3 linked regions of the Struthio camelus genome follow. The protein of the gene in region 1 binds, or shares a complex with, the protein of each later gene. Links are inferred from orthologs where the notes say so. Each region holds a gene or a part of one and is shown on either strand. Other genes may lie near its edges.

Region 1 (7,409 bases):
TTGATGCAGGGCAGGAGGGCGCTGCCGGGGGGCCGGGGGGCGGTTTTGGGGCAGTTTGGGGGTGTTTGGGGGGCGCGTACCCTTGATGCAGGGCAGGAGGGTGCTGCCGGGGGGCGGTTTTGGGGCAGTTTGGGGGTGTTTGGGGTGCGGGTACCCTTGATGCAGGGCAGGAGGGCGCTGCCGGGGGGCCGGGGGGCGGTTTTGGGGCAGTTTGGGGGGGTTTGGGGGGCGGGTACCCTTGATGCAGGGCAGGAGGGCGCTGCCGGGGGGCGGTTTTGGGGCAGTTTGGGGGTGTTTGGGGTGCGCGTACCCTTGATGCAGGGCAGGAGGGCGCTGCCGGAGGGCCCAGGGGCGGTTTTGGGGCAGTTTGGGGGGGTTTGGGGTGCGGGTACCCTTGATGCAGGGCAGGATGGCGCTGCCGGGGGGCCGGGGGGCGGTTTTGGGGCAGTTTGGGGGGGTTTGGGGTGCGCGTACCCTTGATGCAGGGCAGGATGGCGCTGCCGGAGGGCCCAGGGGCGGTTTTGGGGCAGTTTGGGCGTGTTTGGGGTGCACGTACCCTTCATGCAGGGCAGGAGGGCGCTGCCGGGGGGCCGGGGGGCAGTTTTGGGGCAGTTTGGGGGTGTTTGGGGGGCGCGTACCCTTGATGCAGGGCAGGAGGGCGCTGCCGGGGGGCGGTTTTGGGGCAGTTTGGGGGTGTTTGGGGGGCGGGTACCCTTGATGCAGGGCAGGAGGGCGCTGCCGGGGGGCCGGGGGGCGGTTTTGGGGCAGTTTGGGGGGGTTTGGGGGGCGGGTACCCTTGATGCAGGGCAGGAGGGTGCTGCCGGGGGGCGGTTTTGGGGCAGTTTGGGGGGGTTTGGGGTGCGGGTACCCTTGATGCAGGGCAGGAGGGCGCTGCCGGGGGGCCGGGGGGCGGTTTTGGGGCAGTTTGGGGGGGTTTGGGGGGCGGGTACCCTTGATGCAGGGCAGGAGGGCGCTGCCGGGGGGCGGTTTTGGGGCAGTTTGGGGGTGTTTGGGGTGCGGGTACCCTTGATGCAGGGCAGGAGGGCGCTGCCGGGGGGCCCAGGGGCGGTTTTGGGGCAGTTTGGGGGGGTTTGGGGTGCGGGTACCCTTGATGCAGGGCAGGAGGGCGCTGCCGGGGGGCCGGGGGGCGGTTTTGGGGCAGTTTGGGGGGGTTTGGGGGGCGGGTACCCTTGATGCAGGGCAGGATGGCGCGCTGCTGGATGGCCGAGGGCTTCTCGAAGCCGTAGGCGTAGATGCCGCGCAGCAGCGACTCCGAGAGGTTCATGTCGTCGAAGCTGTCCACGATCTCGTTCCAGTTGCTCTGCGGCGGCGGCGGGGGGGGGTCAGGGGGAGGCCTCGGCGGCCGGATCCCCCCCCCCGACCCCCAAAACGGCCCCCGCCGCCCCCCCCCGCTCACCTCGATGACGCCATCGGGGTCCATCCCCTCGGGGCCATTGTCTCGGGGTCTGCCGGGAGGAAGCGGGGGTCACGGCCGTTCCCCCCCGACCCCCCCCGCTCCGCTTCCGCTTGCCCTCTGACCCGGAAGCCGATCCCCGCCGCCTCCCGCCGCTTCCGCCCCGCGCAGGCTCCTCCACGTGGTCGCGGCCTAACTCCCGCCGGAAGTCCCACCCCCTTTTCCCTCCCCTCCATCCCGCGCAGCCCCGCAGCCAATCGGCGGGCCGCGCCGCGGGTGACGTCAGCGCCGCGTGCCCGGCCGGCAGGACAATGGGCGCGAGAGCGCGCGCGGGCGGGGTGGGCTCGCCCGCGGCGGGGAGGGCGGGGGGAGCCGCGGGAGGAACCACGCGCGGAGCGCTGGAGGGAGGGGGGGAACCCCGGCCGCCTTTCTCCCCCCCCCCCCGCGCCCCGATGGGCTCGCCCGGCGCCACCATCGCGGGCGCGCCGCGGGTTGGTGGGGGGGGGGGGTGGGAAGCGGCTCCCACCCCCCTCCCCACTCCGCCCGCGTGGGTGGCCGCCATGGGCGCGCCCACCCGCTCCCCCCTCCCCTCCGCCGCGATGGGCTCGCCCAGGCGCCGCGGCGGGCGCGACCATCGCGGGGGGAGGAGGAGGAGGGCGCCCCCCGCCATGCGGCAAGGGGCGGCTCAGCCGCTGGCGCCGACGGAGACAGAGGAAACCCCCCCCCCTCCTCCTCCTTCCCGGGCCTGGTGGTTCCGCCCAGAGCCCTCAGCCCCTCGCAATCGTGAGGGACCCCCCCCCCCCCGCCGCCCGGTGGTTCCGCCGGGACGGGACCGGCCGGAACCGTGAGGGAATCGCCCCCCCTCAAACCCCCTAGTGGTTCCGCCCGGACGGGACCGGCGGGAACCATGAGGGAATCGCCCCCCCTCAAACCCCCCTAGTGGTTCCGCCCGGACGGGACCGGCGGGAACCGTGAGGGAATCGCCCCCCCCCCCCCGGTGGTTCCGCCCGAACGGGACCGGCGGGAACCGTGAGGGAATCACCCCCCCCCGGTGGTTCCGCCCGAACGGGACCGGCGGGAACCATGAGGGAATCGCGCCTCTCCCCCCCCCCACCCGGTGGTTCCGCCCGAACGGGACTGGCGGGAACCGTGAGGGAATCGCCCCCCCCCGGTGGTTCCGCCCGGACCGGAGGGAATCGCCCCCCCCTCAACCCCCCCTAGTGGTTGCGCCCGGACGGGACCGGCGGGAACCGTGAGGGAATCGCCCCCCCCCCCGGTGGTTCCGCCCGGACCGGAGGGAATCGCCCCCCCTCAACCCCCCCTAGTGGTTGCGCCCGGACGGGACCGGCGGGAACCGTGAGGGAATCGCCCCCCTCCCCCGGTGGTTCCGCCCGGACCGGAGGGAATCGCCCCCCCTCAACCCCCCCTAGTGGTTGCGCCCGGACGGGACCGGCGGGAACCGTGAGGGAATCGCCCCCCCCCCCGCGCCCCTCACCGGCTCTCCTGACTCGCAGACATCCTGGGCAGCGTCGGCGCCCCGCCCGCCCGCGCCCGCCTTATAGCCGCCGCCGCGCCCCGCCCCCGCCGCGCGCCCATTGGCCCGCCGCCGCCGCGCCCGCCCACCGGCTCGGCCCTCATTGGCCCGCCGCTGCCGCCCGCTTGGCCCCGCCTCCTCCCTTCCCCTCCCGCTTCCCCCCTGGGGAGAGGGGGCGCCCCCAGCGCGCATGCGCGCGCGCCCCCCTCCCACTCCCGCCCTCACGGGGCGCCAACGCGCCGCCGGCCGGGGGAGGGGCCACGGGGAGGAAGGGGCGGGGCTAAAGGCGGAAGGGCGGGGCCTCTCCTCCTCCAGCCCCCCCCCACGTGGGCGGCCATGCCGGAGCGCTGGGAGGGGGAGGAGCTTTGTGTGAGCGCCCCTCCCCCACGCCGGGACACCGGGGTCCCTTGGTGGGGGGGGAGGGGTCCCGGACACCTGGGTCCCTTGGGGGGGGGGGACCCGGACACCTGGGTCCCTCTGGGGGGGGGGAGTCGCAGACACCTGGGCCCCTTGGAGGGGGAGGGGTCCTGGACACCTGGGTCCCTTCAAGGGAGAAGGGGTCCCGGACGCCTGGGCCCCTTTTGGGGGGTCCCTGGACACCTGGGTCCCTTGGGGGGGGTCCCGGACACCTGGGCCCTTTGGGGGGGGGCAGAAGTCCCAGACACCTGGGTGCCTTTGGGGGGAGAAGGATCCCGGACGCCTGGGCCCCTTTTGGGGGGTCCCAGACACCTGGGTGCCTTTGGGGGGGGGGGACTAGATGCCTGGGCCCCTTTTGGGGGGTCCCAGACACCTGGGTGCCTTTGGGGGGAGAAGGATCCCGGACGCCTGGGCCCCTTTTGGGGGGTCCCAGACACCTGGGTCCCTTGGGGGGGGGGGGCGGACACCTGAGCCCTTTGGGGGGGGGGCAGAGGTCCCAGACACCTGGGTCCCTTGGGGGGGGGCCGGACGCCTGGGCCCTTTAGAGGGGGGGCAGAGGTCCCAGACACCTGGGTGCCTTTGGGGGAGAAGGATCCCGGACGCCTGGGCCCCTTTTGGGGGGTCCCAGACACCTGGGTGCCTTTGGGGGGAGAAGGATCCCGGACGCCTGGGCCCCTTTTGGGGGGTCCCAGACACCTGGGTGCCTTTGGGGGGAGAAGGATCCCGGACGCCTGGGCCCCTTTTGGGGGGTCCCAGACACCTGGGTCCCTTTGGGGGGGGGGACCGGACACCTGGGCCCCTTTTGGGGGGTCCCAGACACCTGGGTCCCTTTGGGGGGGGGGGACCGGAAGCCTGGGCCCCTTTTGGGGGGTGCTGGACACCTGGGTCCCTTGGAGCGGGGGGGAGGTCCCAGACACCTGGGTGCCCTTGGGGGGGGGGACCAGACACCTGGGCCCCTTTTGGGGGGTCCTGGACACCTGGGGCCTTTGGGGGGGGGGGGGAGGTCCCAGACACCTGGGTCCCTTGGGGGGGGGGGGCGGACGCCTGGGCCCTTTAGGGGGGCAGAGGTCCCAGACACCTGGGTGCCTTTGGGCGGGGGGGGAAGAGACCGGACGCCTGGGCCCCTTTGAGAAGGCGAGGGGCAGACGGGGGAGCGAGGAGGGGGAGCGGAGGCGCTCGGACGCCTGGGTCCCCCGGTGGCGTTGGTGGGGGGGGGGGGGGGGAGTCCCAGGACGCCTGGGCCCCATGTGCCCCCCCCCCCCCGGCGGGGTCGCGGTCCCGGCCCAGGCGGCTCCAAACCGGTTCTTTATTGCCCGACAAGAGTCGCGGCCCCGGCGGCTGTACAAAACCCGCCCCCCCCCCCCCAGAACAGCCCCCCATCCCCGCGGCGGCCTGGCACAGGCGGCGGGCCGGCACAGGCGGCGGGGCGGCACAGGCGGCGGCGTCACACGGCCAGCTTGCAGTGGCAGAGCTCCTTGTACATCTGGCGCCGCAGCTTGGGCATGTCCTGCTGCGTGAAGCTGAACGGCAGCCCCAGCGCCAGGAACTTGCAGTACTGGGGGGGGGAGAGGGGCGTCGGGGGGGGGTCCTCGGGGGGGGACCCCAGGGGGGCACAGGGGGTCCTCGGCCGTCGGGGGGAGCCCCAGCAGGGGCCCCCTGGGGGGGCTCGGGGGAGGCCCGGGGCGGGGGGTCATGGAGGGACCCGGGGGGGCTCCTAGGGGGGCTGGAGGGGGTCACAAGGGAGGCCGGGGGGTCGGGGGGGACCCCAGGTGGTTGAGGGGGTCCTCGGGGGTCAGGGGGACACCAAGGGGGTCAGGGGGAGCCCCAGCAGGGGCCCCGGGGGGCTCTTAGGGGGTTGGGGGGGTCATGGAGGGACCCAGGGGGGGTCCTAGAGGCATTTGGGGGGGTCACAAGGTACACCCGGGGGGTCACAAGGGACCCCAGGGGGTTGAGGGGGTCCTCGGGGGTCAGGGGGAGCCCCAGCAGGGGCCCTGGGGGGCTCTTAGGGGGTTCGGGGGGTCATGGAGGGAGCCGGGGGGGGGGCTCCTAGGGGGGCTGGGGGGGGTCACAAGGGAGGCCGGGGGGGTCAGGGGAGACCCCAGGGGGTTGAGGGGGTCCTCGGGGGTCAGGGGGACACCAAGGGGGTCAGGGGGGGGCCCCAGCAGGGGCTCTGGGGGGTTCTTAGGGGGTTCGGGGGGTCATGGAGGGACCCGGGGGGGGGTCCTAGAGGCATTGGGGGGGGTCACAAGGGAGGTCGGGGGGGGTCGGGGGGGACCCCAGGGGGTTGAGGGGGTCCTCGGGGGTCAGGGGGACACCAAGGGGGTCGGGGGGAGCCCCAGCAGGGGCCCTGGGGGGCTCTTAGGGGGTTGGGGGGGTCATGGAGGGACCCGGGGGGGGCTCCTAGGGGGTGGGGGGGGTCACAAGGGAGGCCAAGGGGGGTCAGGGGGAGGTGAGGGGGGCCCGCGGGGGGGTCCGTGGGGGCCCTGGGGGGGTCATGGGAGGTGAGGGGGCCCGCGGGGGGGTCGGGGGGGCCCTGGGGGGGTCATGGGAGGTGAGGGGGCCCGCGGGGGGGTCGGGGGGGCCCTGGGGGGGTCATGGGAGGTGAGGGGGGCCCCAGGGGGGTCCGGGGGGGCCCTGGGGGATCATGGGAGGTGAGGGGGCCCGCGGGGGGGTCCGGGGGGGCCCTGGGGGATCATGGGAGGTGAGGGGGCCCGTGGGGGGGTCCGGGGGGGGGCACCGGCGCCCCCCAGCCCCTACCTGCAGCACGAAGGCGCCGCAGTCGCTGTCGTTGTTCTGGCGGGCGACGTTCTGGGGGGGGGGGAGAGAAGCAGCCCGTGAAGGGGGGGGGAGAGGGGGCCCAGGCGTGCGGGCGGCCCCGGCGGGGGCCCAGGCGTCCCCTCCGTCCCCCCCCCCCCCGACGGCGCTCACCATCTTGAAGGCGCCCCGCCAGCCCTCGCGGAAGTCCGGCCGCTCCTTCCGGTCGGCCTCGGCCTGCAGGTAGCGGCAGATGTGCTGCCGCGGGGGCGGGGTCAGTGCCCGGGGCAGGGGGCGGGGTCAGCCGGGGCCCCGCCCACCCGGCCCCGCCCACCCCCCCGGAGCGTTGGGAGGGAGGGAGGGAGGGGGAAGGAGAGGGGGTGGAAGCAGCTGGTGTGGCCCCGCCCCCCGCAGGAGGCCCCGCCCCCGGCGCCGAGGCCCCGCCCACCTCGGGGTGGGGGGAAAGCAGCCACTGAGAAGACACGGGGCAGGGCCTGAGCACATGGTGTGGCCCCGCCCCTCCACCGGGCCCCGCCCACCCCAGGAGGCCCCGCCCACCCCAGGAGGCCCCGCCCACCCCAGGAGGCCCCGCCCACCCCACCAGCTATTGGCAGCACGCTGGGGGCTGAAGCACATGGGGTGGCCCCGCCCTCCGGCTCCCAGGCCCTGCCCCCTGCTCCCAGGCTCCGCCCACCCCAGGCCCCGCCCACCTTGGGGCAGCGGCGGTTGAGGGTGCGCTGGGAGTCCAAGGTCATGCATCACCACGCCCCCCACGCCCCGCCCCTGCTCCCGGGCCCCGCCCCCTCGCCCCCAGGCCACGCCCCCTCGCCCCCAGGCCACGCCCCCTCGCCCCCAGGCCCCGCCCACCTCGGCGCAGCAGCGGTTGAGGGTGCGCTGGGAGTCGAAGTAGGTGATGCGCCGGCGCGCCCCCCTCCGCCCCGCCCCTGCTCCCAGGCCCCGCCCCCTCGCCCCCAGGCCCCGCCCCCTGCCCGCAGGCCCCGCCCACCTTGGGGCAGCGGCGGTTGAGGGTGCGCTGGGAGTTGAAGTAGGTGATGCGCCGGCGTGCCCCCCCTCCGCCCCGCCCCCTCGCCCCCAGGCCCCGCCCCCTGTCCGCAGGCCCCGCCCCCTGCCCGCAGGCCCCGCCCACCTTGGGGCAGCGGCGGTTGAGGGTGCGCTGGGAGTCGAAGTAGGTGATGCGCCGGCGCGCCCCCCCTCCGCCTCGCCCCCAGGCCCCGCCCCCTGCCCGGAGGCCCCGCCCCCTGCCCGGAGGCCCCGCCCACCTTGGGGCAG
Region 2 (7,402 bases), on another chromosome or scaffold:
CCCTGCCATCTCCTACCGCCACAGTCCGCGTCTCCACGTTCACAGTGTTGGTCTGCTTATCGTAACTGCTCAGAGCAGTGTTTGTGCCGCAGTCTGTCAGAGAGGCTGCTTCTGTACTGGTGCACTGGCTCATCATTTCCAAAACCGTGCTGGTTTGCTGGGTAGCTGTACAAGGTATGGCCATGACTGTGGCTTCTGCTCTGCACACAGCCTCTGTGGCCGTTTCACGGGACACGCACTCCTTCGGGGCGCAAACAATCACATCCACTGAACAGTCCCCGCAGCCTATTGACCTCACCTCTCTGATCTTCTGCTCCGTCTTGCAGAGACTCAGGTCGCCTACGGACTCCTCTGTGTTGACACCTGTTTCACAGACACTTGTCTCTACACCCACCTTCTTATCGTACACCTCAACAGATCTTCCCGTGCACTGGTCTCGCACTTCTGCTTTCTCCTTCACAAGCCACCGATTCATGAGCAGCTCGGGGCCCACCGCTGTGCTCTGTACGACAGGCCTGCAGGAGGTGCCAACACTGCTCACTTGTAGGTGGTTCCCCACAGACGAATCAGCAACGTTCACATGATCGCCCACCATTTGGTCTCTTGTTTGTACCACAGCCTCCACCATTCTGCTGACGACAGCGGGCTGAGCCATCAAGGCTTTATCCACTTTTTTCCTAGATCCAGCTGCCTGCAGCTCCTGTTTTAATTTGGTCATTTCCCTGTCATGGGTAGTTTCCTTTAACTGAACTTCTAGTCTATAGATCTTCTCCTTCAGGGCTTCAATAGTCTGCTGCTGAAGCTCTAGCTCCTTCTCAACTTCTGTAGACAAGCCAAGCATGGCTTCCGTCACCCCGACCCCGGACTCTCTCGTTTCTTTCTCTGTTCCCACGGCTACTTCTCTGTGTTGCCTCAAAGATCTGTTGTATATAACGACATCGTTCATGTTTTCATCAGCACCAACAGCAACAGATCTGCTCTCTTTTGTTAGGCTCTCTCTGTTCACCCTAAGATTTGCTGGAATTTCATAGTTGCTATCCTGGATTTTTTTCTCCAGCGCTTGCATTTCAGCAGTCAGCTGCCTAAACTCCTCTATCCTCTGAGAGCTCTGCTCCATGCTCTCCATGTCCTCCTCACAATCTATATACAATTCTCCACCTCTTCTGACCTGAGACAGATGTTCCCACTGTTCCGCATTTCCTGCACTGTAAGATCGTTTCCTGAAACCATACATGTCGTTTTGACTGGGTTTCCTTTGGCTCTTGAGTTCTGCCATCATGTGCCTCTTCTCTTCTTGTAACACTGAAATTTTGACCTGGAGCACAGGAATGGTTTTGACTTGCTCTTCAAGCTCCTTGAGACGCTTCAGGGCAATCGCCATTTGTTCCCGGATGTGCTGCAGATGCACCGGGCTCACATTGGTCACCGGCGTGGATATTCCCGAACTCAGGGGGCTGTGGCGAATGGAACTGCCCAGCGAGGAGCCGAAGCAGGCGCCGTAGTCTCCATTACCTTGATACCCGTTTTGAAGCTGCTGGGACATGTGGCTGTACCCACTGGATCCTACGAACGAGGGAAGGGAGCTCGTTGAGCCCATGCCCCCAAAGCTGGAGAGCCGGGGCCTGCGGACCTCTCCTGGCGTGACCTGCATCATTCTCTCCTGCTCTAGTCGTCTCCGCGTTTCCATGAGCGTTTTTGTCACATGGAGGTTGTGCTGGGGAAGCTGGGGGGAGGGAGGAGGAAGCTGCTTGCTCTCGGGGACAGTTAAGTAGGAAGGAGATGCTTCGAAGGAAACTGATGGTCTCACAGCGACAGATGGGGATACTTGACTCCTAGCTGCCGCACACAACTGCTTATTCTCATCACTGTTCGATGACGAGAGAGACTCGGTGGAGGTCCAGCCACTGCCCTGGCCACCAGGGTTCCTGGTGCCTGCAGAAGCAGGTACCGCTTTCTTCTTCTTCTGGATGTTTAATTTCTTAATGGTATTCCCCTTTTGTATATCGTCCACGTACTTCAGAAAATCCAAGTCCAGCTGGTAGCCGTAAGGTGTTTCCACAAAATAGGGGTCTTTCCGTTCTTTTTCATCTTCTCCATTTATAACAGCTTCCTCTTTTTCTGCAGGAGGAGAAACAAAATCAGTAAGTGGAAAAGAAACTATGTCTCAGCAGGCTATGCACTGAAACACGAGTGTACAGACAAGGGTGCTCACAGCACACCGCTAGGCAAAAGCTGCTGTTACAGCCCAGAAAGCAGACCATTCTGCTGATCTACCTGTAACACAAAATCCCAATGAACTTTTCCAAAGTTAATCAGTAGGACTGCAAATACTGAAAGGTGCACACATATATATGTGTGTGTGTACATATATATGTATATATATACACATACACATATATATACACGTGCGTGTGTAAATATATGCGCACACACTGATAACCTTATGAATAAAGAGGCAGAGACGTGGCACAGCCCATAGCACAAACTGTACTTCCACAAATCCCTCCAGTATTTCCGCGTCACATCAAGCTTGCACGCATGCTAAGCTGTCATAGAAAGATTACAGTGTATTGCCGTGAATCATCTAAGAGACCGACTTCTCCAGAGGGTACATTAAAACAGGCTACCCAACCCCAACCCCCCTCCTTAAGCTATCAATGCCAGTAGACTTTAAACTGATCTACAGTTATTTTATTGCTTTGCAAACTGCTGCCGTAAGAGCAGCATTATCAGCTCGCTCTTGCTTGAGATCACACTACTTCGACCAGCGGCTCTGTCTCTTATACTCCCAACCTGCATGGAGCCCACACACTAAAAATATGCAGCTGGACCTGTTTCCAGCCGCGTCTCGAATTCCACCACCAAAAGAGAAACCGTCGTCTCGGATGTCAGGGAAATTCGGACGTCCCCCAGACACAGCACTCGCATGTCTCCAGCGCAATCTAAATAAAACTTCACCACATCTCCCGGGCTTCTGCAGGCAGAAGATTTAAATACTATATAACCTGTTTCTCTTGTCCCATTTGGCAGGGGGGGAACACCCCACCACCACCACCACCACCACCACACAACAGAACTTGCCACAAGTTATTAGAGGAGCTGGGTACATTTGAGCAGCAGGAGGAATAATAAAAGCCAGCTTTCCGGTTACCTGAATTAGCTACATGCCTCTGCCCCCACACTGTAAATTTTCCAGCCACGTATTACTAGGCCTCCGGTAATTCTCCGCGCGGTCCCAGCTTCATGTGTCATAAACAAGCTCTCGGCTCACCAAAGCCCTGCCTCTCAACTCTCTCATTCTTCACCCCATAAGGAAAAAAAAGCCCACATTAGTGTAAACTCAGCCAAGCACGGCACACCATTTCATAGGCTGAGCTTTCTCCAATGAGTTTGGTTTCAACCAGGGCTGGTGAGCACTGCCTTCTCCTCCTCCTAAGGTCCTCAGCTGTCCAACACGCTCGTCCATTTCCGCGGTAAGCGAACAGTTAATATTTTAAAGGTGCAGTATCCTCCACCCCTGCCACTTCCCGCGCCCCTCCCCTCCCCAGCAAACAGCAAAAGATCATTTGTATAAATCTGTCTGTCTGTTGCACATGTTCCTGGCTTTCTGCTCCTCCTTAAAAGCAGCAGCTCTGTCTCCGGGGCAAGTGGATGCAGCAGTTTTTATACACAGACGCTCTTGCATTTGCCCGTATAATCCACTGAGCTAAACTGGCTCCACATCCGTGTTTCCTCCGCAAAGACATGCAGGATGTAGTAGGCAGCTAAGTATCTGAACACAAATTTAGCTTTCTGCTCTGTTTTTAAATAGCTAGGTTTGAAAGTCGTGTCCTCTTACAGGAATATAAGCCTCAAAAGACAGAACCTCCCCCCCCTTATTGCATCTGCAGGAAGTGACTTAATGTTGCACTGAAAAGGTTTAGGGGAGGGGAGAAAAAAAAAAAAAGAAAGGCTCCTGTTTTTCCAGTTTCTTTGGCCATGCTTGAGAAAAGCCCTGTCTACATACAACACAGTTGCTTTCAGAGTGATCCTTCACGCTTCTGCCTACCACGGGACACCCCAAGCCGCAGGATGATGCTTGGGGGAAACGCGCCTACCCCGGCACTGCGAAAGAACGGGACGGCAGCGTGGACAGCGGGCAGGCATGGCACGACGGTAAAAGAAGCGGGGCTGACTTGAACACATCGGTATCTCAATCCTGCATGTGACAGCGTGCGGGCTGGCTCTTCGGCAGACACAAACAACCCCCCCACGGACCGCATGTTTCTGCTCAAAGACCAGGGTCCTGGTATGCCGCGGTATTTACTTATAGATGCACCCGAAATAGCCGCCTAAATACCAACATGGAAGCAAAAATACATTTACACCTACTTATTCTAAGAACATATGAGCACATAGTCCTCTCCTGCAGGACTGCCTCAGGCTTGGACAGGGGAGAAGTCTGTTTGTTTCTGAACGAGACAGAGTGTACTTTTCTACTCAACTCCTCTTCCTCCCCAAATTCATTGCTCTACTCCCGGGCTCCTCAGACAACCGGCGCTGTTTTCCGAACCCCACAGCTCCTCGCCCAAGGCTGGGTCTCCCTTCCTTCCCCTCCCCATCCCAGCTGTACCCCTGCTCTCACCCTCTGTCGTCTCCAGTCTCCCTTCTTCATTCACCTGCTCCACTAATTCTAACCCAAAATCTCGCTACGTCCTCAGCCCTCATCCTGGGCTTTCTTCTAGTGGCTTCACCCAGCCCATATAGTTTCTAGCTCCACCATGCCGATTTTACCTGCTCCTCCGTTCTCCCCAGCTCTCTGCTCGTCTCAGTCCTTGTCTTCCTATTGCCGATTCTCCCATCCCAACACCAAGGAGGTCAGGCAGCTCCTCTAAGCTGGCCTTGGGCACAGTGTTTAAGTGTTGGATGTGGGAGGGAGAAACAAATTACTTGGGAAGTCCCAGGACTCACAAATTAATGCATCTATGAAAAAATTATTCATAAAACTTCTAAAAAGACATGCAAATCTCATGCTAAGTCATGAGAGCCAAACTGGAATCTCACATAATTGTTTTTTTTCATGAAATAGCATTAACATTGCTCAACAGAAGCCCATCAGAAATATATAATTAAAACACATATAGACACACTGAATCCTTTACTAAACCTCTGTAACGCCTGCAGGCATTTAAGTGTCTTCACAATGAAATCCTTTCTGTCCTTAGCTTTAGCTGGCAGCACTGCCAGGACGCAGTTCATATCCACTGCTCCACAACCATGAGATTCTGTGTGAAGTGGATTGCACACTACTTCTCCTTAAAACAATACAAAGAACACTCCATCAACACAATCCTGGTATTATGAGCTGATCTTTGGAGCCATTCCTTGATACCGAAGACAAACAAGGATCGGGCATGCAGTCTAACGACAACAAACGGAAAGCTGTGATGCAGCCTGCAGGAGCACAGGAGCAGTGCCAACCCTTTGTGCATTTTGCCGTCTCAGGGAAAGGGCCAAAATGGGTGTGCCTGTTAAGCATGGAACAAAGCAAAATGGATGGCTGTTTTCAGGCAATAAAAATGGTTCTGTTGGTTCCAAAAGAAAAAAAAAATCTATTAAAAAGGAAATGAGTGCAGCACCTGATAAGAGCACAGCTCTTTCTGCTTTCAGCCCTTAGGTCCTGGATGACCTGTGGATGCCCTAACACCCTAGCTTCGGTGGGTGAGTACCAGGCGATACAGAAAGCAGCTACCTCAGATTAACCTCAGAGGAAGCTGTATCTATTTGCCCTTCAGCCAGAAAGGCATCTTCTTGCAAGAGATTCCTATCCCCTTCACCCCAATGCACACAAAAGTAGCAGCAAGTACAGGACAGCACAAACGCTCTTTTTAGGCTTCTTGCCTCATCCTCCGACAGCCCATCATGGGCACTGCTGAAACTGGGAGAGCTGTTCCTCAGCGTCTCTACTGTACCTCAGGCAAATCTTAAATCACATCACTGAAACACAACATGTGAAGACACACACGCACAGATATACACACTTTTGTTTGTGCAAATGTTGCACACAGTGCTGTTTTGCTGTATAATGACTTCAAACGCGATGAGACACAAACATACCTATGTTTTTTAGGCTAAGTACCTGCAAAGTAAAATACTCTGCAAAGCATAACGGGCTCATTGTGTTACTGTCACTATCAACGCATTTCTCCAGAAGTACGCAAAGTCTTCCTTTCCCTCTCCGTACTGCATGATAATCATGAACTGGACACAAGCAGCATTTTAAAAACTGCACTCTTCTGTTCTCTTTTCCTGCGCTGCTGGGACTGGCTCTGTCCAAACATTCCAGTCTTGCCAACTTCCATTAAATTATATCCTATCCAATGCACTACACAAGAACACCAGTATACTAAAACATTGAATCAGCCCTACCAGAGTCCATGCTAATCATGTCTGCTCCCTGAACAGGAGAACCGGAAAAAAAACAGAACATTTAGTTCATGCGCTTAAAAAGGAGTTTTGGGGGAGAGAAAAGGGAGAGTAAGGTAAGAAATAGTGCAAACGGAGGCAGGCACAGAGTATTGGTTCTACAAGCTAGAGAAAGTTTTATTGCAATGGTGCCTTGGAGGGCCCAGAAAGAGCACAGAGAAACAGCTGAAAATACATCTCTGAAGCTAAGTCTAAGGTGCCTTGAAAAATACAGACCTCACATCTAAAACCTTCCCTCCCCATCTGGTTATGATATCTTCTCTAAGGCAATTTTCTCTTCAATCTGACTGCCACCAAAGAAATCTTTTCCATTGAAATAACGTTATGAGTAACAGTCTCCTTCCAGAGTTATTGCATACAAGAATCATAAAGAATGTTGCAGAGGAAAAAGACAGAAGCAATAACTGGCAGAAATGGAGTTGAATCAGTATTTTTATATGCTGAACTTCAGCTTGAAAGGTTATCAGGAGCAGGAGAAGAAGGGATAAAACTGAGCTCTGACCTTTTGGTTCTTTACTGCAATATAGAAGAAATCGATGCTTTTCCCCTTCTCCTCCCCCAGCTCCCAATACTACTTTTATGTATTTTTCCCTGTTCTTCAAGACATGAGTATCGGCCTTGCTTTCTGAAAGAAACCAAAAAACATTAGATCAACCACTTATTTAAAAAGAAAAAGCAGAATGGAATATTTAACACATATGCTTCCATTCTCCTTTTCAGGTGTTGGGATTCCTACGGGAGCTATAAAACCAGCTGCAAAAAAAAACCTTAGTCTTGCAGCACACTCAATTGGCAGGTTTCTTCAGGCTAACAATATACAGACGATGTCATGAAACTACTAGCTCTCCAATAACATAGATCTTCTAAATCTATGTTATTATCATATCTATGTTATTATAGATTATAGATATTATTTGATATGTATTATCAAATCTAT
Region 3 (7,758 bases), on another chromosome or scaffold:
GGGGGAAGGGATACCCTGCCGGAGAGTGGGGCAGGAGCGGGTTCCCCCCCACCACCCCCCTCGCCCGACCTGCTGCGGTGAGGCCGGGGGCGCCATTTGCTGTCCCGGCCGCTGAGGAGAGACGTGCTGCTCCGCGGGGAGCTGCTAGCCGCCCCCGGGGGGGGGGGGGAGGAAGGGGGGCAACGGCCTCGCTCCCCACCGCGCAGCCCCGGCCTCAGCAGCCCCCCCACTCCCCGGTCACGGCAACGGCCGCCGCCCGGGCCACGGGCCTGGCCGGCCGCGGGCTCCCGAGTGAACGCCATCCCACCCGCGGAAGGGAGGGATGCGATGTCCAGCGCGGAAAAAAAGGTGGCGGAAATAAACCTGCACGGGTGCGGGAGCCAAGGGGGCCCCGTACGCTGCTGCCGACGGCGTCTGCTGCCCGAGCTGCGCTCGGCCCACCTGGCCGGGTGGCTGGAGCAAAGCTGTGTTGCCTGGGCAGCTGCACGGAGCCGTGCCCTTCGGGGCGTCACGCACGCAGCGGGCCAGCTAGATCCATTTTCCCACCTTGTGTACCATTAGTTGCCCCGACCCACTCGTAAAAGTGCACTTGGTCGTTATCTCCTGACTTGTGTCATTTCAGGGGGTCATTAGTGTCGGTTAGCAGCAGAAACCTTGAACGGGTTCTAGATTAGATCTGAAATGGCAAAGCCTGGAAGGTGGGGGAGCAGTTCCACCCGCAGCAAACGGGAAGGGGCGAAGTGGGGCTTTTGCAGGTCGAATTACAAAACCTCACCAAGGCAGATGGAGTTCTGCACAAAAACTGAAAGAGAAATGTGGACGCTTTGACAGCTCTTCCTGACTCCTGTTCAAGCACTCTATCCTCCTCCTTTAATTAGGAATCATTACATTTTTTGTAGGCAAAACCACCAGAAAAATATTACTACTTCTTTATGTTATTCTAGTCTAACACCAGGGTTTCAGATCTTTTTGTTTCCTCTTCACACAGGATCCATGTACCCACTCCCTGTCTGCAGTATTCGGTGTTACAGGACAGGAGTTTAGAGATCCTGGCAGGAGGACACCACGCAATTGCCTCAAACTTGGCAGACGGGACTCATTCATTTTCAGGGAAGCTGACCCATAAAAGATGCTGCAGCCAGTCGTCTTCATTGCTAAAACCCTTAGCACAGTGCACATTTAGGGGGTTGATAGCCATCCGCAGCCCTCTAAATGTTCTACTTTATATTACTTTACCCTTACCCTGTTTATTCTATGTACACTGCCTAAGGCCACCTAATTAGAAATGATGGTCCCATTTCCTTGTCAAATATTTTGTCCCCGTTCACAGTGTCTCCTAAAACCTCAGCTAATCCCTTATTTTCCCTCTCTAATTTCTCACCCCTGAGAGCCTAAGCAATAGCACTTCACTGCTACGAGGGAATAAAACATAGATCAGTTCTGCTTTAGTACTCCTGCATTGCAGGATTTTTCAGCTACCAGCAAGAGAATCCCCCTCAGCTGATACATTATCACTTGACTTTTATAGTATTTTTACATATTACTCCACTATAATTCTATGCTGAATAGGTGTAGATTTGACTGAATTAAGAGCTAAACTTTCCCTATATTAGACCCTGTAAATTCATTTTTTGGCCTGGCTCTGCATGAATCATCATAAGCAGGTTTAAGAATTAAAACAACAAATGATATTCTACTAAAAAGACTGTGCAGCATGATATTTTTACTCAGCCATCCTCTTTGACTGCTATGTTTTAGTAATGAAAAAACCACTTCCCCTCTCAGACAAATAATAGAAAATCTTTCGTGTTCACCAAGACACTAAGTTCCAGGCATTTTCTAGTCAGGGAAGTTTAGCATGTTCATACAAGACTATTTCCACATGCAACCTAGAGGCACCCTTGAAAGATGTTGTTTTCTCATCAATCAAAACATAATTTCCACTTTGCTCTTTGCACATCCACTGATTAGCATGCACAAGGCAAAACACCACAGTGACATTACTGAAATTTGGAAAGTCAATCCAGGCCATTAACAAATAAAATGGAATTAACTCCCCCCTGTAAGAGAGAAGATAACCCTTAAAGGGCTTTTGCACTGAGGAGGGGAGAGATGGCAGAGACAGCAGATTGAAACAGTAAAAAGAACCTGCACAAGAGAAAATACAACAAAATACCACATCCGTGCATCATGCCAATTGTTACTAAATGTTTTAAAGCACTGCGGAAAATTGCTGGAGGATTTTCTGCTAAAATTGAGGACTGGATCACTTCCAAGAGGCCCAAAATCTGGGTCATTAATCAAAAAAAGATGAAAAACCCTGAACCAGCGAGCACACCTCCAGACAAGAAAAAGTTGTGTTTTCTTCTTTCTCCTGCTGAATGTCTCTTAGCACTTTGGATATCAGCCACTGAAAATCTCATCTAGGTTTGGCTGTACGTGCATGAGAGCTTGTTTGTGTTTTCCCACTCTATCAGCCAATCTAATAAAAGACATCATCTCTTTCTGCCTTTCTAGCCTCAAAACGTCCTGTGATAGATAAAGGAATCAGCCAAATCACACATTAATCCCTGAGCTGCTGCACAGAGTCGCTCCCTGCCTGCTTGCCTCCCTCCCTCCTCCAGCTGTATGAACAGCAAACGCCGCCAAATTCCCCATCAAAGCAGACCAGCAGAGTTGCCCTCCTCCCCTCCCAGTTATCATTCAGACCAAGTTGAGTTATTCTTAGGAAAAAACCCTTCTTCCGACAGCTCCTGGCCGACCCCCAGCTCAGCGCGACCCACGCGAGCCGCGCTGCTCTACGCCAGCCCCCCGACACCTGCGGCCCGGGGTTACCTGCGCCCGGGACCTCGACGGCGCCGGCCCGCGCCCGGCGGGCTCCTCCTGCCCTGCCGCCCCTAACGCCGCCGATCACCTGCAGCGAAACGCTCGAACAGAGCCAAGCGGGCCACTTTCTAACCTTCTTCCTTCCTTCGAGCCTGCTGGGTTGTTTTCAAACTCTTCCCCTCCCTTTCTCACATGCTGGCCAAGCCCTCCCGTAACACCCAGGGGAGGAATCCATTGGCTGAAGTTCCCCAAAACGCGTGGAGCAGCCCTTCCCCCCCGGCCAGTGTCTAGCGCACAATAGACACCGCGTGTCTCCAGGCTGCCCTGGCCAGTTTGCTGCCAGCCTTTGCTTTTCATCAAGGTTTATTTGAACTGTAGCTGTTGTTACTCACTTAGGTCATCAGACCGCCAGCACCAGAGAGACCAATACAAAGCAGAAAGAAATGGTTAGAAATGTCACAGAGCAGTTTCACTGTACTCCCCACGGTGGACTTTTCAACGTTTTACTTTCTGTTTTAGGTATTTTCAAAAGGCAGCATCTGTGATCCTGACACCTCAGCAGTTCTGTTTGATTACAATCTGGTCTGTTACTATGTCACTTAGAGTATAAATTTCCACACATAATGCAGACAGCAACAAAACGTATCGTATCTGTTAAGTCAATCTGCTCCGTTCAGTTGCCTGTCTCTTGGCCTTCTGGTTTCTTTTCCTTCAAAGTACTGTTATTTTGCATCTTCTGCACTGGCTTCAAGGTGCATACATAAAACAAACTGCAAGCACAGCAATCCCGTTCCTCCTCAGTCAGCCTCAGCTCCAGGTTGAAAGGCTACTAAAAACCGCCTTTGCTTTTTTAGTGCTCTCTAGTTTGAGTTGCTTTTGAACATCTTCCCACGGTTCGCTCCGTGAGCTCTGGACTGGGCTGCCCTGCGGATGAGGGCAGGCATCTCCGTGGGATGGAAGGGGATCAGCTCAGGTCTACCTTGGTGGGAGAACTGAAGTGCCTCTCACTGAAACGGCTTTGGACAAACCACAGCTTGCTTGTCCCTGCGTCTGTCTCTTGCTTGTCTTTCCCAGACTCGCTACTGACAGCGCACAAAACCCCTTCCCTCTTCATATTTCTGAGTACGCCCTCCCGGCAGAAAGTTTAAAATTGGGTTTGCTTTGTAAAACTGACACAAGCATGTCTCCTTTGTGTTACAGTTGTCATCTGTTCATTCTTGCCCTAACAAAAGGCAATCATGCATCTGAAAAGACATTTTCCTGGAAAGGGCTGAACTTGTCAAATGTGCAGAAAAAAAAAACGGAGTACTTCATTTGGCTGTAAAGAATTGCAGACAGTGAGTTCATTTGAAAGCTAATAATCAGATGCACGTAATACTGTCTTACCCTCAGAATAATTGTCCTTTTTACCTGGTTTGCTGTGGGAGAAAATCTTAGGGAGTCATTTATTGTAACAAGGTGTGTTATTGCCTTGTAATTATTGTTTGACAAGCTGAGGTCCTGTGATATATATGGAATTAATAAATCATGTGCCTGCTTTTCTGTGTATGTACAATCACACCTCTGTATTTATATTGACAGAGGGTTACAAAATATGTACCTATGTGCATAGGACTGGCAGAAACTTCTGGGCCACAGGGTCTCCTATCACAGGCACCATGTGATATAATCCTTTTTATAAACTTATCGAGTTCCGTCCTCAAAGCGATTCAGTATTTGGCATACAGGAGAACAACTGGGAGGCTTGTTCCTGAACCAGACTGTCAAACAGTTAGTAACAATCTTCTAATGAAAACGTCTGATACCTCTTTTTGATCCTTTACCCTGTACCAGCACTGGCCTTTAGCATCATTAGCTCTTCCCTCTCCCTTCCTGGGAGACGCTTCCATGATGTATTTACAGAGAGAAATCCTGTTGCTCTCAGCGTTCACTTTGCAAAATCCCACAAGGTAACTTCTCCTTCCATTCCCCAGCCGTCACTGGAGCCCTTGTCTGCAGCTTTCCTGTCACGTGCTAGGGCTGCGTTTAGCTTTTTTCTTTTTTCCATCCTGTTGGCAACTCGGTTATTCTGTGAGTGAAGCGTGAGCTGCCAACCAGCTTGTATCAAAGGGTTTGGTCATCTGTGCCTCTGACCTTCCCTTTCTGCTGATTTCTCTCTTGCAGTTAGCCATTTTTTTCTGCGTATCATCTCAGGCCTGCTTTGTCCTGATGATGCCTCGTATTTTCTGTCATCAGCAATTTCACCAGTCCTCCATTAACATTGGGGCCAAGCTCATTTACAAAAACACTATGCCAGATCTCCAAGACTGATCTTTTAACACTCCCCCAATAACTTCCATCTAACCTAATAGTCTTTCCTGCACTGCTCTCACAGCAGGTCTTCACCAAATGTGCTTTAACCCTTGTGCTAAATCACTTCTCTCTTTACCTAAGAACTTTCCACGGGGCACCACATGAAATGCGTAACTGAAGTCCAGATAGGTGAGATCCGCCCCGTTTCCTTCACTAAGCAAATCACTTACTTTGTCCAAGAAAGATAAATGGATTTGATAAACCCATTCAATCTCATGCCATTTACCTCCCTCCCCTTAACCATCCCTTCCTTCACAATTTGTTGTGAAGCCTTCCATACACCGAGTTGAAACTTTCATGCCTGTTCTTGTCCAGATCGGTTCCTTCTCGCTTCTTACATGTAAGGCCTGTGCCTGCTATTCTGTCCCTGAACAGAGGGATCTGGTTCAGAACTAGCCCTAGACATTAGGGCTAGTTCTTCCAGAGCTCTGGCATGCGGATTATCCCGTTCCCCTGCCTTGGCAGCAGGAAGGCTCCTGGAGATTTGCCTCCATCCTGGCTGCGCCCATTTCCATATCCCCGTGCCATCATCCCTCTCATCTTCAGCCTTGTGAGTAACATCCTCACCCTCAGTGAAAGTTAAGGCAAAGTAGGAATTTGGATTTTGCACACATCTAATTTAACACTAGCCTCTATCCCATCCTCACTGTAGAGTAACCTCTCTTTTTCTTTCCCCGTTTTCTTCAGCTATGTGCATCCAGGAAAAGTATTTTCCCATTCATATTAATATCCTCTAGAAGCCTCAAGTCTGCCTGACTTAGGAGACATAGCTTGTTAACCAATCAGTCATTTTGCTTTTTAAAATAGTTCCTTTTAATCACTTTTTATTCTCAGTATCATTTCTGAGGTTGTGATTGATTCAACTGTAGTCTCACCATTCAAGATTTTCCCCTTGCTTGCGTTTTCTCCAGAGGGAACTTAGGCTTAATTAACTGGCAGTTTATTGCCTGTCCTGGAGTTTTATCCCAGTAAAACTTAGACAGCCTCTTCTATGTATAGATCCCCTAGCTCCTAAGGAAAGCTAACTAGTTTCTGTTATTTATTTAAATGTGTCCCTTGGAAATCTGAAGCTGTGTCAGTCACACCTGCCTTGCTCACAGGGCTGTAGTGTTTTAAGCAGGGTTTTGTTTGTCATTAGAAAACCAGACAGATTTTGCATTTTCCAGAAAAAAATTGAGAAGACAAAAGTGGACTTTCCTGATATTTCTGGGGTAAAAATAAGCAAAACGGAATGAAAGAGCAGACGCAATTAGCTGCTGTTTTTAGAAATAAATGATTACTGTAAAAATATAACTGTGCAGGTCACCTTTTGTGGTTATTCACCAAAAAAACATTCTATCTCAGCAGAGCCAGGAGACTCAACCAAGGCTTTCTCATGGTGGGTTATGTCTACACATCTCTTTTCACCCGCTTTCTCTTCTGCTCTCCTCTTTCTCTCTCTCTTATGTCTTTTCCTCTTCAGTCCCTCCTTCTTGCCTTCTCCGTGCTGACACACCGTCTCAATGTCCCAAAACTGAACTGGAAGCTAGAGATGTGACAGTGTAGAAGGGCTTCAATTTCCCAGCTCTGTTGCTGCAAGCCACGCAGATTTGGCACCTTATGCATCCATCTCAGCCCAGCCGGCTGAGCCAGCCAAAGAGCATAGCATTTCAGAAGTGCATTACTGATCTCCTTGCAGGTGCCTACACGTATATCTAGGTTCCCTGGAAGGCTTGGACCACCTGGATTGGAGTCTGCGTTGCTGCACCCTTGCTGTTGTCGGGACTTGGCGAGCAGGTGAGTAGCAGCCTGGCTGTTCCTGCATACTCTGCGATCTGGCTGCAGTGATACAGGCAAAAACACTCCTGATCCTCCCCTGTATAGCTTGTTCTGGGGCACAAACATTGAAGTGGCTCTCTGGTAATGTCTTCTGTAAAGGAAGGTCTTCGTAGTCTCCCCATGTGCATATGGCCAGCGAGCTGGAGGGAGCGTGCTGGAAACTGGGGGCTGAAGCAGTGGTGTTCGGCCCGGTGGCTGCAAGGCTGTGGTGGATGCGCCCACAGCAGACTGCACCAGGTCTTGCCCTCAGGGGGTCTGCCCTACGAGCAGCGGCCACTGGCTGCCATGGACTTGGCCACACAGTGCCATCCGCCAAAGCAGATTGCAATGTCAAGCGTGACAGAGCCTGCAACAACACGTCCGCTGACTCTGTGGGGCTCCTTTGGAGGAGACGGGCTTAGGAGCCACTGGTGCTGCTCTGAGCCACAGAGCAGCTCCCGGGCAGCAGTGCCAGGTGCCTCCTGAGCACTGCCAAGGCTGTGCTGACCCTCCGAGCAGGGCCAGTGCTACCTCCAGCTCTGCGCTCCCAAAGGAGGTGGCTTGGCACAGAAAAGGAGAGGTGTGGCCTTGCATTAGGGCATGAGCGGTGGAGTCAGCAGTTCGGGGCTGAGTTCCCACCTCTGACGCCGACTTACTGCATGACCTAAGGCAAGTCACTTAGCTGCTTTCCTTCATTTCCTGACTCTGCTAAATGCCAGGGATAATAAGTAACTTTGTATGAGTGCTGCGAAGCTTTGAAATCTTTAGATGAAAAGATGCTGT

What was found.
Region 2: the proteins of EIF4A1 (region 1) and KANK1 are in contact, whole or in part, in a crystal structure (PDB 7DDX), measured with the Mus musculus proteins. The link is inferred for Struthio camelus from reciprocal best matches to the Homo sapiens genes EIF4A1 and KANK1. Residues at the interface, in NP_659207.1 of Mus musculus: Lys99, Val140, Arg141, Val144, Gln145, Lys146, Leu147, Gln148, Met149, Glu150, Ala151, Arg168, Arg169, Tyr170, Ser172; in NP_852069.4 of Mus musculus: Gly1168, Asn1169, Asn1171, His1175, Tyr1176, Val1178, Asn1201, Lys1202, Ala1203, Tyr1205, Met1209, Leu1210, Leu1213, Ala1214, Ala1215, Gln1240, Ala1241, Leu1248, Ser1251, His1252, Arg1254, Asp1273, Glu1274, His1285.
Region 3: the proteins of EIF4A1 (region 1) and PDCD4 are in contact, whole or in part, in a crystal structure (PDB 2ZU6), measured with the Homo sapiens proteins. The link is inferred for Struthio camelus from reciprocal best matches to the Homo sapiens genes EIF4A1 and PDCD4. Residues at the interface, in NP_001407.1 of Homo sapiens: Gln75, Thr109, Arg110, Glu111, Ile135, Gly137, Val140, Thr158, Gly160, Arg161, Asp164, Glu186, Leu188, Ser189, Arg190, Gly191, Phe192, Gln195, Ala214, Thr215, Met216, Pro217, Glu240, Leu241, Thr242, Asn280, Thr281, Arg282, Arg283, Thr329; in NP_055271.2 of Homo sapiens: Pro170, Gln173, Glu174, Glu177, His178, Glu183, Glu186, Met187, Asp190, Leu209, Glu210, Lys212, Glu249, Leu250, Leu252, Asp253, Thr254, Pro255, Arg256, Gly320, Gln321, Gln322, Ser323, Val324, Leu327, Glu348, Lys352, Glu355, Val356, Pro357.

What each region holds. Positions count from the first base shown.
Region 1 is NW_027182614.1:1,509-8,917, reverse strand, and holds the start of EIF4A1 (eukaryotic initiation factor 4A-I), read right to left. Parts: upstream 3,008-7,409; 5' UTR 2,933-3,007; coding exon 2,910-2,932; intron 1,467-2,909; coding exon 1,418-1,466; intron 1,322-1,417; coding exon 1,189-1,321; intron 1-1,188. Other genes in the region: SENP3 (sentrin-specific protease 3), read right to left, coding at 4,810-4,920, 6,123-6,173, 6,294-6,377, 7,400-7,409. UniProt on the Homo sapiens protein: ATP-dependent RNA helicase which is a subunit of the eIF4F complex involved in cap recognition and is required for mRNA binding to ribosome.
Region 2 is NC_090982.1:9,422,609-9,430,010, forward strand, and holds the start of KANK1 (KN motif and ankyrin repeat domain-containing protein 1), read right to left. Parts: upstream 3,021-7,402; 5' UTR 2,929-3,020; coding exon 2,832-2,928; intron 2,119-2,831; coding exon 1-2,118.
Region 3 is NC_090948.1:12,156,508-12,164,265, forward strand, and holds the start of PDCD4 (programmed cell death protein 4), read right to left. Parts: upstream 3,021-7,758; 5' UTR 2,836-3,020; intron 483-2,835; exon of another isoform or gene 364-482; intron 1-363. UniProt on the Homo sapiens protein: Inhibits translation initiation and cap-dependent translation. May excert its function by hindering the interaction between EIF4A1 and EIF4G. Inhibits the helicase activity of EIF4A. Modulates the activation of JUN kinase.